Linked DNA regions of Drosophila melanogaster. The protein of the gene in region 1 purifies or fractionates together with the protein of each later gene. This does not show direct contact. Each region holds a gene or a part of one and is shown in the gene's direction. Other genes may lie near its edges.

Evidence for each region.
Region 2: the proteins of Rat1 (region 1) and Rai1 purify together in Drosophila melanogaster (affinity purification with western blotting; one study listed by BioGRID). This does not show direct contact.

Annotation. Positions count from the first base shown.
Region 1 is NT_033779.5:6,906,170-6,915,616, forward strand, and holds Rat1 (Rat1 5'-3' exoribonuclease), read left to right. Parts: upstream 1-1,913; 5' UTR 1,914-1,996; coding exon 1,997-4,723; 3' UTR 4,724-5,254; downstream 5,255-9,447. Other genes in the region: Polr1F (RNA polymerase I subunit F), read right to left, coding at 749-964, 1,063-1,608; Wee1 kinase, read right to left, coding at 5,532-5,683, 5,780-5,913, 6,015-6,719, 6,776-7,112, 7,257-7,758; x16 splicing factor, read right to left, coding at 8,874-9,231. UniProt on the Drosophila melanogaster protein: A 5'-3' exoribonuclease. May promote the termination of transcription by RNA polymerase II and promote RNA degradation. Involved in turnover of piRNA precursors.
Region 2 is NC_004354.4:16,799,469-16,807,207, reverse strand, and holds Rai1 (Rat1 interacting protein 1), read left to right. Parts: upstream 1-3,863; 5' UTR 3,864-3,956; coding exon 3,957-4,651; intron 4,652-4,738; coding exon 4,739-5,171; 3' UTR 5,172-5,279; downstream 5,280-7,739. Other genes in the region: ppk28 (pickpocket 28), read right to left, coding at 1-574, 708-901; CG13005 (uncharacterized protein), read right to left, coding at 1,928-3,137, 3,216-3,448; CG4789 (uncharacterized protein), read right to left, coding at 5,295-5,554, 5,621-6,139, 6,203-6,248; CG9132 (uncharacterized protein), read left to right, coding at 6,600-6,682, 7,630-7,739. UniProt on the Drosophila melanogaster protein: Decapping enzyme for NAD-capped RNAs: specifically hydrolyzes the nicotinamide adenine dinucleotide (NAD) cap from a subset of RNAs by removing the entire NAD moiety from the 5'-end of an NAD-capped RNA.

The DNA of each region.
Region 1 (9,447 bases):
AACAACTGACGCGATTAGTCTGTAAGCTTTCCAGTACCAAATTCATATTCATGTTAGGTGAGTTCGACTCTTGTTTAGTTATCAATTTCTGCTCACTGACCCAAATATTTAAAATAGAATCATGTTTCTGTTCTCTGGCATCAATGCAAAAAATCGTTGTAACTATATGTATTACGTATGTTTGTATATTATGTAAATGTTCCTTGTAGACGTGATTGAGAAGATAATTGTGTAGGAATAATTTTTGAAGTGTTATCATTGTGTGTATAGTTTATGTTACTTTTTGGTGTACGATTAGAAATTCATATTTGCTTCTATTTGCTTGTTATTTAATAATTAGCGAAATCAAAATAATATGTAACAAGCTTTTAATGATTTGTAAAAGAAAACCAGATATAATAACTATGATACACATATTGTATTTAATGTATTGTAAAATATTGACTCTATTTGTATGAAATACATATGTATTACAAAGTATTCATATTCACATTTTAAAAACTGTTTTCAATTAACCATATCCAACTGACCCCATTGGCAGTGGCGATCAATCGGTAAGGTGTGTTAGCATATTTAAGGTATTGTACCTCTAAGACATACGCTATGTACATCGAATATTGGTACTATAGCAGCATTGCAAACTACGTAAAGACTCGGCCCCATTCAGCATTGAATTTGTACATTTCGACATTATGTAATTGTTAATTTGTACTATATACAGAGATGTTAAAAACGAAAGGTTTTAAAGCTATATCGGCTCGCTTTTTATTTCTTTTTTCACTTTTTTCGTCTTTGTAGTGTCACCGTTTTCCCCATTCTTGCGTTTTGTTGAAGTTTTCTTTCTCGGCGTGAATTCAGGTTCTTTCTTAATTTCTGTTATAAGAGCATCTAACATCTCATCTGGGTCCTCTTTCTTGACTTCTTTCTCCTCCGGTGGGGGACTGCCAAACTTAATGGATTTGTTCTGAAGCACAAAATGTGTGGGGGTATAATTAGATATGTTTAAATCAGGTTTCAAAACGCTATCAAATCTATTTGTTTTTTAATTAGGTAGTGCCCTACCTTTGGAGCTTCGCCATTCTCTAGCAATAGTTCTCCCTCGATGTAAGGCATCAAGTTGCTGATATCGAAGTTTTTTATGCGGATCTTGATCTCCTGGTCCATGGCGATGTCCTCGCGACTTGCACTCTGGTTTGTGAAACGTATGGAGGTGTTGAAGACCCGGTAAATGACGGCGCTGACATGGTGCCTGGAGATGTGTCGCACCACGCCGCTCAGAATGGCGCCCGCCTTCGGTCGGAAGACATAAAAGTCCGCATTTATGACCAGATGCATGGTGGGATCGTCTGCGCGTAGACCCGCCGTTTGACCGAGCACCTTGATGTTCTTGATTCCGAGGACGATCCCGTCGAGCCCCGAGTCATAGAATCCCACCTTGGTACGGATAAGGAGCTCGTGGAGCGCGTGCTTGAAATTGGCCATGCCGTACGGGCCCATTGCTAGGTGCATGTCCGTGGTGATGCAACGCACGCATGACTCCGGGCTGCTGGCATAGTTTTCCAGCTCCTTGACCGAAAATTTAATGTATTTCTGCAGTATCTTGGCCATTGCGAGATCTTAAACTATTAAAACTATTGGTTCGAATCGACCACATGAATTACATCTGACGATCTGGCATCCCCGCAGGTGCTACAAGAAATGCAATTTTAGCGGTTTTCCGCCAAATTGTACACCCTTTGGATGAGTAAAAAATGGTTAGATAAATCGTTGAACTATTAATATTTACAACTTTTTAGGATAATTATTAGTCACTTTATTAAATTTAATGCCAATACTAATGGCATACATTTTGTATTTTTTATATGTTTTGGTATTTTTTCTCCCCGCCATTTGTACGGTCCCATTGATCGGAGCATGCTTGTGGTATAGGTGAAGAAAACGAGGAAAGCAGAGTTTGACCAAATATAAGAAAAATAGAGCCTAAACCGAAGATATAATGGGAGTTCCAGCATTCTTTCGCTGGCTGAGCCGGAAGTATCCATCCGTGATAATAGAATGCAATGAAAACAAGCAGGTGGACGCGGACACCGGTCGAAACATCTACGAGGACCCCACCTTGCCGAATCCAAATGGGATAGAGTTTGACAATCTGTACCTGGACATGAACGGCATCATCCATCCGTGCACGCATCCGGAGGACAAGCCGGCGCCGAAGAACGAGGACGAGATGATGGTGGCCATCTTCGAATGCATCGACCGTCTGTTCGGTATTGTACGTCCTCGAAAACTGCTCTATATGGCCATCGATGGCGTTGCTCCACGAGCCAAGATGAATCAGCAGCGATCTCGTCGCTTCCGAGCGGCCAAGGAAACCACCGAAAAGCGGCTGGAGATAGCACGGATCCGCGAGGAGCTGCTGAGCCGCGGCTGCAAGCTGCCACCGGAGAAGGAGAAGGGTGAACACTTTGACTCCAACTGCATCACGCCGGGCACCCCGTTCATGGACCGACTGAGCAAGTGTTTGCACTACTTTGTTCATGATCGTCAAAACAATAACCCGGCCTGGAAGGGCATCAAGGTGATCCTGTCGGACGCCAATGTGCCCGGTGAGGGTGAGCACAAGATCATGGATTACATTCGCAAGCAGCGTGCCCAGCCTGATCACGATCCCAACACGCAGCACGTCTTGTGCGGAGCCGACGCCGATCTCATCATGTTGGGTCTGGCCACGCACGAGCCCAACTTCACAATCATTCGGGAGGAGTTCCTGCCGAATAAGCCGCGTCCCTGCGACATCTGCAACGGATTTGGCCACGAGATGGACAAGTGTGTCGGACTCGGAGCGACTGCGCCAACTAGCGCCAATTTTAAGCCCGATGTGCCCATAGGCGCCGAGGTAAAGTTCATCTTTGTGCGGCTGAGTGTGCTACGCGAGTACCTAAAGCAGACTCTTGAGATGCCGAATCTGCCATTTGAGTACAGTTTCGAGCGCGCGTTGGACGACTGGGTGTTCATGTGCTTCTTTGTGGGCAATGATTTTCTGCCCCACCTGCCTAGCCTGGAGATTCGCGAGGGTGCAGTAGATCGATTGGTGGAGTTATACAAGAAGTGCGTTTACAAGACAAGGGGCTATCTCACCGACTCGGGAGATGTAAATCTTGACCGGGTGCAGCTGATTATGACCGACTTGGGCAATGCCGAGGACCAGATCTTCAAGAGCCGACAGCGACGCGAGGAGCAGTTCAAGGCCAGGGACAAGGCGCGCAAGAGGCAGGAAAGGAATCAGGACCACGGATCCTTGAATCAGTCTGCTTTTGGCGCCAGCGCCGTGGGTCCAAACAGCCAGCAAAGGAGCGTCGGCAACTACAAGGAGGAGGCCGCGGCACTTCGTAATAGAAAACGGACGAGTGACATGGCCAATTTGGATGACGAAGATGAGGAGGAGAATAACGACGAGGTGCGATTGTGGGAGGATGGCTTCAAGGACCGCTACTACGAATCCAAGTTTGACGTGGCACCGGGTAACCAGCAGTTCCGATACGCTGTAGCCCTGCAGTATGTCCGAGGATTGTGCTGGGTTCTTAAGTACTACTATCAGGGCTGTGCCTCCTGGAACTGGTACTTCCCATACCATTATGCACCCTTCGCATCGGATTTTGTCAACATCCAGGGACTGTCCACGATGTTCGAAAAGGGCACAAAGCCGTTTAATCCGCTCGAGCAACTGATGGGCGTCTTTCCGGCAGCCAGTAGTTCACACGTGCCCGAGCCGTGGGCCAAGCTCATGTCCGATCCGGAGTCACCGATCATTGACTTCTATCCGGAGGACTTTAAGATCGATCTGAATGGCAAGAAGTTCGCCTGGCAGGGAGTGGCTCTGCTGCCGTTCGTCGATGAGAAGCGTCTCTTCAAGGCTTTGGTTCCCTACTATGATCAACTTACTGGAGAGGAGGTGAAGCGAAACAAGCGTGGAGACAATTACCTGTACATCAGCAATCAGAGTCCGCACTACAAAAAGGTGAAGAAAATCAGCGAAAAGGATGATGAGAGCGTTTGCAAAGCCATCTCATTTGACGGTATGCGCGGCACTTTGGGAAAAACCGAACTAAACACTGCCATCAGCGGCGTTCTTAAGTCGCCGATTTCCGGGCTATCGGACATTAATGACAATATAACCGTGACGACCACGTTCAGGGATCCGGAATACGATGAAGACTACATTTTCGAAGCGAAGCGCCTCGAAAACGCCGTAGATCCGCCACAGGTGCTGCCAAATGAGCAGTCTGGTAACAAGCATCGTCCCGTCATCGGTTTTAATAGCCACTTGACCAGGGCCTACGTTCCGGATAGTGGTCACCGCATGCTGAACGCTGGCATAAGGAACCAACAGGGTGGCGGTGGCAATGGAGGTGGAGGAGGAGGCTACGGGCAAGGAGGCGGCTACGGCCAGGGAATAGGCGGAAACCAAGGACAGAGCTATCAGAACAATAGCCGAAACTATAACTACAACTACAACAATAACTACAATCAGCACCAGGGTGGCGGCTATCAAAACAACTACAATAACCGACAGCAGCAGCAATATGGCCACAATCAGAGATTCAACCAGGACAATTCGAATCAGCAGCAGCGCAACTTTAACAACTATAATGGTCCAAGGAACAACAACTACCAGCAACAAGGCGGCAGCAGGCAACAGAATCAGAATTATAGACGGTTTTAGGTGTATCATACAAACAATATAATATGTAGCGCATAACAAAAGTGTAATCCATATTAATTTACATTATTTTTTAATGAAGAAAATATACTGATTAAGGATTTCCAAACAAACTCATGCCAAGTTCTGAGTTTGTTCTTTAAATGAAATACCCATTGCATTTCTATCAAAGCAGCTTACAGCCAACATCTAGTCTTAGTGCCTCAAAGAAAATAAGTCAAATTACAATAATGATCATTTCTCTTTCCATTGATTGCGTAAAAAAAGCAAACTAGCTGGATAATACAAAAAAATGAGACGATTGTTATTTTCAGATAAGGAAAATGGAACATAATTTGACAGGAAATTGGATAATATCAAAACAATTTCTAGTGGAGTAAACAATTGAATTTAAGAAAAACTTCGCAAACATTTTGTTTTAAATCCGGAGTCATAATAAATCCAGTAGTTTTTATGGAATAGCATTCGCTATATTTAACGAATGGAATGTTATTATTTCGATTTCCATGTAACATAATAAATATTTTAATTTCGAAAACAATACTCATTACAACTATGCGAGAATCTTAAAGTTTACAAGGGGCTTTTCTTAAAACGATTGTGCTTTCTTAACAGGGAAAAGTTCACTGAGCTTGAAAAATATATAGATTATATTTACGAATGCTTCAAAATCCATGAGCTTAAACGAAAGCGAATAGTTAGAAATATGTATCGATTATATGAATACGCTTAAAAGGTAACACAATGTGAGCTTAGTTCACGTTCGATTCGGAAGAGTTTAGCTATCGGTTCGGCATCTGTTGCGAGCTTATCAGATATTGGTGATAACGTTCTTGTTGCGATCGGATATGCTGTCGAACTTGCCATGGCTGGAGAATGGCGTGCGCATGCGTCGCGTGAAGCTGCGAAGGCAACGCTGTCCATCCAGACTGTCCGGATTGTTAGTCACCGCAAGAAGATTGACTAAAATGAGTTGCAGAAACGTTAGAAATTGTAAACATCCAGATAACCAACCACCTTAAAGTTTAAGTTGTTATACAACTATTTATCTTATCTTACCTCGTTGCTCGAGCAGTTTAATCTGTTTTTTGGCCTCTCTCAGCTTGTTCATCAGTATCTCGTTCTTGCGCTTCTCCACGGTCAGCTCCAGGCCGAGCTGCAGCTTGCTCTTGGAGTCAACAGCACTCAGAATTCTGCAAATTAAACGAACATTATATGTATTTAGTGTGAGCACATTTATCTTAAATGCAACTAAATATGATTGTCGCTTATACTGTCGACTCAATTTACTTACGGATGACTGAATATAGACTGCGAAGTGGGCCTCTTGTCGGGATAAGGATGCATCATCTGGGCTATGAGCTCGTTAAAATCCCTGCTCAGGCTCGGCAGAATCGGCACCTTGCCATCTCGCAAGTTGTGCCATTCGGGTCCATTTTTAGGCAGCGGACCACCGCCGGCCGCCTCGAACAGCGTGATGCCCAGGGAAAATATGTCGGCCTTGAAGAGATTCGAATAATCCTCGTGAAGGATCTCCTTGGGCAGGTAACGACAGTCTCCCTCCTCGACGTAGGGTTCCTTAACGGAGGTCACGTGTCCCAGGTCGCCGATCTTGTACGTAACCAGATTCTCTGAATGGCGCAGTTCTTCATAGACGCTGTCCATGCCATCGTCATCTTTGGTCTGCTGCGGCTGCACCTCCACCAGCTTGTGTGCATTGGGATTCATGGTGGAGAATATGTTTTCGGGCTTCAGATCCATGTGCACCAGGTCATTTGAATGAATATAGCGTAGGCCCTCTATCACATGCATGAGAACAATCTTTAGCTCTGCCTCACCCAAACAATGATCTTGGATGCGCGCGTGCAAGCTGCCACCATCGCAGAATTCATTCTGTATCAGCATATGATCGTCCTCCGCCCACGCGGAATAGTATCTAACCACGTTATCGTGCTTGCCCAATACAGCATGGGCCCAGACCTCGTTCAGGGCTCTCTTTCTGCAAGCAAATAGATTGTTAAACGACGCTCGTTGCAATAACTAATGAATACTCACTCGAAAGAACTGCCTGCCACCGGCTTCTTACTCTTTTTAATCGCATATATGCAGCCATCTAGTCGATTGACGCATTGGAACACCACACCGAACTCGCCAACGCCGATTACGTTGACTTGCATGAACTCCCGCTTGAAGCGACTGATGTTCGTGTCGTGCAGGGCCAGCCGCTTGGGTGCCTGCTGGTGGATTTCGCGCATCGAGTCGCCCGCCTCCTCCGTCACATCGTCGTCGCAGGCATCACTGAGCAAATACTTTTGCATAGCATTCACGTTCAGGTTGAGGTTTTCGCGTCCGAATTGCGTGCGACAGCGCTTCTTATTGTGAGCCATGAGGCCTAAAAATAAAAAAAATGATTATTAGATTGCTAATAAGACTAAGCTGGGATGGGTTAAAGTGGAGTGCAAATTAAAGCAACGAACTGGAAATTGATACCTTTATTTAATTAAAATATCAAAAGCGAGAAACGTTTTAAACTTACTATCTGGCGTGAAGGGGTTCACATTTGCCGTGTCCTGGGTGGGCAGTTTGCGGTTGTGCAGTGGCAGAGATCGCGGGCGCTCTGACAGGCGGAAGAGGTCGTCGCTGCGCCTGGAGGCATTCACTGCCGCTGCTGCCGCCGACAGATGGTTGCTGCACTGCGTCGTCGACTTCTGCAGGATGGTCTTTGGAGTGGCCGGTGTGCTAAAGAGTCGCAGGGCCCGCACCTTTTGGCATGGCGGCGACATGGACACGTCCCCGTCGCCGCCTTCTTTGCCTATCTTACTGTCCAGCTGCTGCTCCTCACCGGAGGATAGCTTCGGCCGCTGCTGAAGGGGATGCTGCGGACTCGCTCCCTCGGGCGTGTCCTTGTCAAAGTCATCATCGGCGAAGCGGAGCTTGCGCGGATTGAAGACCTGCGGCGATGGCGAACGCGATCTCAGTTCGACGCTTGAATCGAGTGAGGTGACGCTCATCTCGTGCTCCGACTGGCGGAATGCCATTGTTGCTGTAGCTGTCCAGCTGACCACGTTGAAAGACGATTCTGTTCGTTATTTCTGATTTCAGAACTATTTGTATGGAAGCCGGCGGCAGTAAAGTAAAGGCAATAGTTAAAAAAAATGCAAAACAAAACACAAAACAAAATTTAACTGGAGGAATGCTAGTCTAATAATGTGGCCGTACCCGATGCGCAATAAAATACCAGCTCTGACTGAAAAAATACTAAGTAACTGGAAGTGCAGAGTTACCAAACAAACAAAATACTAAACATCTGGCAAAAATACCAATTTAAATAATGCGCACCTACTTCTAAACTGAGTGACCAGACTTGTTCAAGACCGCATAAAGCCCGCCAAATTCAAATGGAAAACAACTAATTTTGGCATTTAATTTATTGATTGAATATCTGTATTTTAGTGTTCAGCGCATTTGCTACATAATTCAAACACACATCTCAAGAATCCATACATATGTATTTTTTTAATACTTAACTATGACATCAATGTATGAATAATTATTATGCACTGTTGCAATACTTAATTATTACGAATATAGAAACACATCATACAGAGATTGGAGTCAAATAATCAAGTTGTTGTGTTGCATAAATTGAAAATTGTGTAAAATTGACATGAAAATGGTGGCGATGCTTCGTCCTCTGCACATTCGAGTATAATTCCAGGGTAAGCAAAATAAAATCCAAGGCAAATCAATTTACATAGCAATCCTGACTAGATCGTTAATCTGCGGCTGCCGATACATTTCTATATCTTAAATTTCCTTCCGTCAAATGATTTTCCGAAGCGCTCTCCTTTGTTCTGCGTGTGCTTGTATTTGTTGTTGTGTTGGAACATTAGAATACCTAAATATGCAAACTCGAGTTCCACTATAAATTAAAACCCTTAACTAATATGGTTTTGGACAACTAAAAACCTTAGATGGATACTGCATGAAAAAGTATTTGGGAATCTGTCTTGTTACACGTGAGGTTGTTTCTTTTGGGAATGAGGATTAGAGTCCAGTGCGTGGAGAGCCCATCTCGCCGGATTCATCGGGGGGTTGCAGCTCCGGCCCTCATCATCGCATGTCGGGCTCCGTCTGCATCCGTTCGCTGTCGCTAGTCCCTTGAAACGGATCGTGAGGCGGACGAGTCACCACGACGCCTGGGCGGCGATCCACGGCGCACCGCTGGCGACGCCGATCGAGATCGGGAACGCGACCGCGGCGATCCCCTAACCCGGTCATCGTCCTCATCCTCATAGCGCCGTTTTGGCGGCGGCGGTGAATCTACCGCTCCACTGCCGTTGCGCTCGTGGTCGCTGTACCTCGACGCCGATCCGTTCTCGTCCCGTCCGTTCGAGCGGCCGGAGCGACGGCCCACCGAGCCGGCGGAGCGACTGCGGGATCGAGTTCCGGACTTGGAGCGAGTGCGCCTGCGTCGCGATGTGCTCCGAGATCTGCTGAATGAGTTGCTTCTGGAAATGAAATGGGATAAATCGTCGTGATTAGCTATCAGGCTTTTCAAAAAACGTAACAATTTAAGCTACCTTATATATGTATATACTAATATACTAATACATTTAAATATATTATAGTGTGCTATATTATTTGAAACATTGTAAGTATCAAAACTAGCTTTTAGCAGATTAAGTTTTAACAGCTTATTGAATAAAACACAAGACAGTATAATA
Region 2 (7,739 bases), on another chromosome or scaffold:
CGAGGTGCGCGGAAAGTAGAACTCCGGCAAATTGCGGGCATAACCCTTCTCTGGTGTCCAATCGATGAGCTCATAACGGGTATTCGGATGAGCCGTCTCCAGCCGCACATCGTCACTGTAGTTCCGTATAAGATACGACGGATGCAGGGCATTGAAGTTGCAGCACAGCCCATCGTCCGTCAGTATGGAGGTGAAGAGCCAGGAGCAGTCCTCCTCGCGCGATCCGAAGCTGCAGTACAGGAGCATTTTCTCGCACGGCTGGGCCACGTCCACCAGGATCGCCTTGAAGTACTTCCAGGTGCCGATGTACGAGATGGTCGTGTCCCCGCCCTGGTCACACAGACCCATCAGCAGCGAGAAATTCGTGCTGGTCCGTCCAATGCGATCCACTTTGCTTAGCAGCGCCTGGTTGAGATTACAGATCGTGATCGCCGGAAATGGCATGTTGCTGGTCAGCTTTTGCTTGGCACTGGTCGAAATGATTATGGGCGAAGCACTCCACTTTACGTACACGTTGGATATGAAGAACACGGAAAGGATCACCACCAGCACAAAGGCAAGACCAAAAAAGATGCTGAAAGGCGATATAAAATATGAATTGTAAGTTCGTGGCATTGCTCGTACTTGTCTATATATAAAGTAATGCCTCTTTTAGTGTCCGCGATCTCTGCGATAGGCTGATCGATTCGGCTACCTTGCTTACGTACCGTTCCGGAATGGTGATGCTCTCTTCGGCGATGTACTTTAATCCATGGAGGGTGCTGTTCTTGAGATAGTAGACCACACTCCTCTTAATGGCCGCCCTGCTACAGATGGTATTCTCATCGTCATCCGACTCGGAGTCCTTTTTGCACCCGGAGGAGCCACTTTGGCGCCGCCTGCTTTCCGTCAACGTCCTCATAATGCACTACGTCCGCACTTCTTTGAATCTCCGCTATTTATAGGTCACTTTCTGACTGCACTTTTAGGTGCAATTCCATGGCGGTCATCAGCTTTAATCATATTGAACCAAGGCAAACACGGTCGTCCATTTGCAGTGATAACTGCCAAATTGATTTTAGCCACCCCCTTGCCATCCTCCACGTATTTTGAAAATCAAGTGGATGGCCAGAAAATATGATTACATCGTGGCAAATAAACTTTACACCTGAAAGTAAACATAGATACACGCACGCTTTTCAATAAAGATATTCTAGATATTGTAATACACACAGGTATTGAAAGGGATTTATTTAAGCAGCAGCTTTGTACTAAAAGCAATAATAATTTTTCACAGAAATTTACCATTTAGCTGAACGCCATTAAAATTGCGATCAATTTAATTGACTTGCAGTAAACACAAATGAAAAGTATGAAAAGCTGCTAGAAACCACAAGCATATATACATTAAACTAAATTGGCCAGGATTTTTATTCACTTCCAAATGTTCCAGCAAATAATAACGCAACAATTTCAAAAATCAAGGAAGATAAATTCATTTAATAGGCATCTTTCGTTAGCCAGTTAAGTACTTCATAAATAATCTCCATCCGCATGCGGCATTTTTGCCACTCAACCATTTACATTTGCGTACTAATTGCATAGATTTTTGGCTGGAGGTTATATGAGGTTACTTTTCAAATTATACAATTTCAATATTAATATTCAGTAAAAATTCAAAATACAATACCAAAATGTATCTAAGAGATCCCTATTTCTATATTTACATACTCCATTAATACATTTTAATCTACTTAGAAAAGTTCGTTTCAATTTTCAGAGACTTTCTTCATGCAATATGCACGATAAATAAAATAAATGTTTTAAACTTTCATATTTTAGAACCTTTTCAGTGTTCAAGTTAAAAAGTAGTTGAAATACCTTTCACTCTATCATAGAATTCTTCATCTCCATTGCTAGCTAAGCGCTTTCTATACATTTGTCCCTTCTAATTCGGATTGAACTGGAAGAAGTCCACGTTGAGATCGAGAATAGCCTCTGTGTTGGGCGTTTCCTTCATGGTCAGGGCCTCCACGGCATTATCGCTGGCATGATCGTAGCCATGGTTCACAGTCGGAGGAGCAGTTGCCACTGGCGGCTGCATAAGATCGCTGACGTTTCTAAGCAGACTCTCCTCGGAAGGCGGATGAAGTTGACCGCCCGCCGATAGATTGAGACGCTGTGCAGCCTCGTCTGTGAGCGGATCGTCCAGCGACATGCTCAACTCTGCGTAGACCACCAGATTGCGGGCTCCTTCACTACCGCTGCCGGCAACCAAGGCCGCTCCCTCTGATTCCGGCATCGGTGCCAGCGGCGACTCCATGGCGGACATATCCAACGCATACTGACCCTCGGGTATGCCCAAAACTCGTGCAATTCGTGCATTTACAAAATGCAGTCCAGAGGTATTCCGTATAAGCCGTTGGCTGCGCAATTGCAGCTGCTCCACAAAGTCGTTAAGTTCGTTAAGAAAGAGATCAGAGCGCTGTTCCTCGCTGAGATGGGAATGCCGCTGCAGTTGGGCGGTCAGAAGGCCGAACAGCGACGGCGTGGAGGGAGGATGAACCGTTGATGGTACTGTAGCTACAGCTACAGGTGGTGTCTGCTCGCCCGGACGCGGCATGTGCTCTGGGAATTTGACAAAGTGACGCTGCAGACGGCGTCCCAAAAAGATCTTTCCACAGCCGGGACAAACGGCATTTTTGGGCACGGCTCGTTGGATGGTTGTCGTTGTGGTCGGTTCCTGGCTTATACTGACGCTGCTGCTGACACTCGTGCTTTTCGGCGCTGCCATGGGTGCCCGGTAGTCCTTGTCCCGCAAGTCGGCCACCAGCATCTCAAGCATGCGGGCAGAACTTGGCTCAACCGCTGAGCCACTGGTCACGGGAGCGGGCTGTGGCATCAAGCTGCGCACCTGGCGACCGGATCTAGTGCGATGGGTGTCGGGAGCAGGTTTTTGCTCCGCTAGTGTTGGTTTCTTCGCCACAGGAGCGGTGGCAACCGAACAGGCTCTTTTCGATGGTCTACCCACTTTGGCAGGCGGATTCTGGGCATTTTTCTCTATCGCCGGGCGAATCCCCATGACGGCGGGATCCGGACAGCGGTAAATCGTTAATTGTTGCGTAGCCGCATCTGTGCGAATCACCTGATGGCGCTTTCTGCACAGGAATAAAAGATCACGGAACGTGATCAGAGAAGGTGAATGAAAGCTCCAAAAAATAGGGATTACTACCCACCGATCGATGACTATGTGATCGTTTTTGGACAGCTTGTGCAGACTGCAGGCCAGCTGGCCCAGAGTATCCTTAACGCGTAGCAAATCGCCTCCTGCAGCCGGCAAATCTTCGTCGGGCACGGAATTCTCTGCAGGATTCTTGGCGGCCTCCTGTCGATCCTGTACACCACCGGTCTTATCCGGCAGCACCTGCAGCTCGGCCAGGACCGAGGGATCCTCCAGGAGATGCTTCATTGGCCAGCCACGTTTGGTGGTTACAAATAAACATAAAAACAAATCTATGAACAAAACCGAATCGGATTTCGTGTTATTTTGGTATTTAGTATATTCTTAGATTCCCATGACTGTGGTCACACAAATTGTTTGATTTAAGCTTGCAAATACCTCGTGGTGAATAGACGTGCTCAAACAGAACATAAAGCAAATCTAAGAGTCAAAATTTTTTCTCTTCATCGAGGTACTATCATCATTAGCGTTCACTTATTACATTAAAATTAATAAGCACATCATCATCCCATTTTTAATACAATTTAGCTTTCGATACTAATCGCCTACACTTGATTCTCACCACAACCATTTCCCAAGGTCTTAGCCCATTTAGTTGCGCAGTGGAGAAAGAAAATAATCGATGATTCCTCGAAAAACATCGATGTTTGCGATTTTTCTCCACCTCTAATAAATATTAGCGTTATTTTCCGGATAATTATAGTTTGAACTTGGAAAATCCGCGGAGGCGAAGGAAATGGCCGAGAACGCGGGCTTCATCAGTGTGCCCTGGGGGCAGCACAAGCTGGGCGCGATGTACAATACGCCGTTTCCCTCGATAAGCCGCCCGAAGTGCATCGGTGTGTGCAGCATAAACGCTAGCCGGGAATTTGTGGACGACGCCAGCTGCGCCAGCTACTTGGCTGGCCAACCGTGGCCACCGCTGCCGTTCGATCTTAACGGGGGTATAGAGGATGTGATCCGTAAGCCCGTCGAGAACGGCAAACGGGATCTGGAAATTATGCTGACCTACATTAAGCAACACCAGAAGGAGCTGCTCCGTCAGAGTAGCTCCGATGCGAGAAATCTACGCCTGGACAGCGACTTTGTAACACTGCGCGGTATTTTGCGGCAGATAATGTGCCTGCAGTATGATAATCGCTCATTCCGCGTCAAGGCGACGCTCCTGAACGGCAACGTCTACATGTGCAAGGAGGAAACCCCAGAGCAGCAGCTGGAGAACGCGAACATGAGCAGGGCACAGCGGGTCATGTGCTCCTGGGGCTTCAAGTTCGAGCAGTACCTGACCAGTGCCCAGGCGCAGGGAAAACCGGTGACCAATGTGCCGGTCAACGAGGCAGAGGAGTTCATGGGCGTGTACCGCACGAACCTGGCCGGGATTTTGATGCTATACGGCGCCGAACTGGACTGTGTGGACAGCAAGGAGCCAGTGTGAGTGGTCCAGGGTTTAAATACTTATGAATGATTAATGTTCCATCCATTCATTATTTGTGTATACACTTACACGAATCCCATTAGTGACTTCAAAGATTGCAGAGTGCTCGACTCATTGAAATTCGTAGAGCTAAAGACCAGCGTCTTCAATATGAACCCTCACCAAATTCGCACCTTCAAATCGTTCAAGTCTGCCAACTGGTGGAGTCAGTCATTCCTGGTGGGCATCACTACGCTCTACGTGGGACTCCGCGACACCAAGGGCATGCTGCAGAGGATCGATGAGATCGATGTGGCAACACTGGCCCGCAACAAACCGTGGAGTGCATCGGCAATGGCTTGGTACCTGGAACAGTTTCTGCGCAATCTTAAGAAGCTGCTGGTGAACATTAACGATCCGTTTGCGGTGGTCCAGGTGACTTTTTTAAATAAGCACGCCAGCTACGAAGTGCTGCGCGGTCCGGAACATCAAATCCTGCCCAACTGGTATCGAGATTTGCTCAAAACGCGCTCCTAAGGCAATGCATAACATTTTCTAAACAACAGCAAGTCTGATTTTATAATGGGAATTAATCGTTTCTTTTTGTAATGCTTCCCGTACGATAACTACAACTTAGAACTACTGAATTGAGTGCATTAGTCACTTGAGGTCTTGGGTATCCAGGAGGGGCAAGACGCTGTCTTCCATTTTGGCACTGGTCGGGCCAAAACGTCGCCTGTCGGGCGGACTGACGGCGTTGGAGCTGCTCACTCCGAATGCTAGGGCTGCGCGCAGCGCTTTGCGATTTTCGATAACGCGGTCAAAGAAGCGGGACAGTTTCACGGCATCAGTGGTACCAGCGGCCAGGCTGCGACTGTTGCGGCAATTTAGCCAAATCTCCTCGGCTCCACACTTGTCGGCTGAGGGATATTGAAATAGATAAACGTTAGGAGGAAGCATTTGTTAAATGTCATATTAGGAGGCACCTATTCCGCCCGGCTTCTTCACCCCCATTTTGGGATGGCGCTTCTCGTCCAAGAGATCCAGCTTGGTGCCCATGACCAGGATAGGCGTTTGCGTGGCGCCCAGAAACTCCTCCATGTCGAAGAGAATGTGGCCGTCCGTTCCGAGGTTGTCCGTTGAGAAGCTGCTCAGCGGGCTGGGCGGCGATGGCGGCATGGAGGCTCCGTTCGATTTGTTCGTATCCTTGCCCTCCTTGTTGACGATCTCGTACAGCCAGTCGATTAGCTGCCTCTGCGACTTGGCGTTGGTAAGGTCGTGCACCAGAATGATTCCATCGATGCCCGCATAGAAGACGCTGCGCGTGTTCTTGTGGTTCAGCGATCCCCCAACATCGAACAGCTCCACGAAGTAGGGACACTCGCGAGCGGTGCCCTCCCTGAACGGATGCATCTTCACCTGGATGTTGCAGCCCACCGTCCAGCCGGGCCGGATGAGGGCTTCGTTGTGGGTGATCAGGTGCGTCAGGGAGGTCTTCCCCACACCTGGGTAAGGGGAATTCTCGAGAGGATTAGTGCCACGGAAAGCGTTTGACGTCCATTATTTACCCGAATCGCCAACCACAACAATTCGCACTCGATTATTCATCGCCATTTGATTGGAACTCATTTTATTGGTTGCAGCCACACTAGCATTCAATGACTACTACTAACTACTAAGAAATGTTAATAATGACACAAATTTCAGTGATAGTTAAACTACGATAATGTTATTTTCCAAAAAAACATTAGATTTGAACTTAAAATGTTTAATCATTTAATCAATTTAATAGTTTTTAAATCTGAATTTAAAAATGATGTTCAACACTTTTGTGTTGGTATATTTTCGAGGGTCGCTTGGCATATGCAGACTATCGCCCGCCGGTCACACTGGCTAAAGCTTAAAAAAACACTTGGAAAGATTCAGATAATAAACAAAATCAAATTTATCTGAACTTCGAATAAGATGGAATACGAAAGTGTGCTGATCGTGAAGCCGGAGGTGTTTATCTACAAAATACCACCCCGTGCGAGCAATCGTGGTTATAGGTAAGTCGACAAATCGGCTGGCAAACCAGGTGACTACTTTTTTTCGCCCCTTGCTTTTGGATTTTCTGCCATCAAAATTGAAAGTTCTTCGTGCATTTCAACGCCCACTCACTGCACATATAACTAAATATATATGTGCATATATCCACTGGGGGTGTGGGAATGCATTAATTATGTTTTTCTAAGAAAAAGTCAAGGTTAAAGGCAGCGCGACTTCTGCTGCTGAGGCTGTGAAGTTCAAATCCAATTGATTTTTTTTCCTGGAATTATTGTTGAACATTTTCACTTACACGTATCAGGGAGCCAAGAACAAAAACAAAAAAAAAAAAACAGATAAACACACAGAAAGAAACGGGGGGCAGCGAAAAAGCTTCGCTGGCGTGCGTGTAATTGTTGCTATTTGCAGCCACTCTCTTTGTTTTCCTTTTGTTGCTGTTCATTTCACAGTTAACTGCGCTCAGGTGGGCAAATAACACAAATTATCGGAATAACTCAAATATTGGGGGTATACCATAATTAAAAAGCTACTACGAACGACCCATTAATCGAATGCCAAGCGAATTAATCCACAAGAACCACATTCCACCGGTTTTTCCATTCCAAATTATGGCCTAAATATATCGTAATATCAATTATCTTACGAGATAGTTAATTCTTTCTGTATATATATATCATCTTGGGATCATAATATGCATGATTTCCTCACAAATCCTTTATCATCTTGATCTATTAACTTCTTACAACTACAACAAAAAATGGAAGTTCTTGCAGATAACATGGAAACTAAAAGCATTCTTAGACTAGAAACGCTAGATAAAGTCCATTTCGTTAGTTTTCTGTCAGATCTTTAGACCTAAATAATATATTGAACTTTCCTTATCATTGTGCGCATACAATTTTCGCCAGAAGAAGCGAGAACCATTCTAAGTGATTTATCCTATTCGCAGAGCGGGAGATTGGAACTTAAAGGAGCCCACCTGGACGGGCAGGATGCGACTGGTGGCCAAGGGCACCGCCGTTGTCCTCAAGCTGGAGGACAAGACCAGTGGTGCCCTGT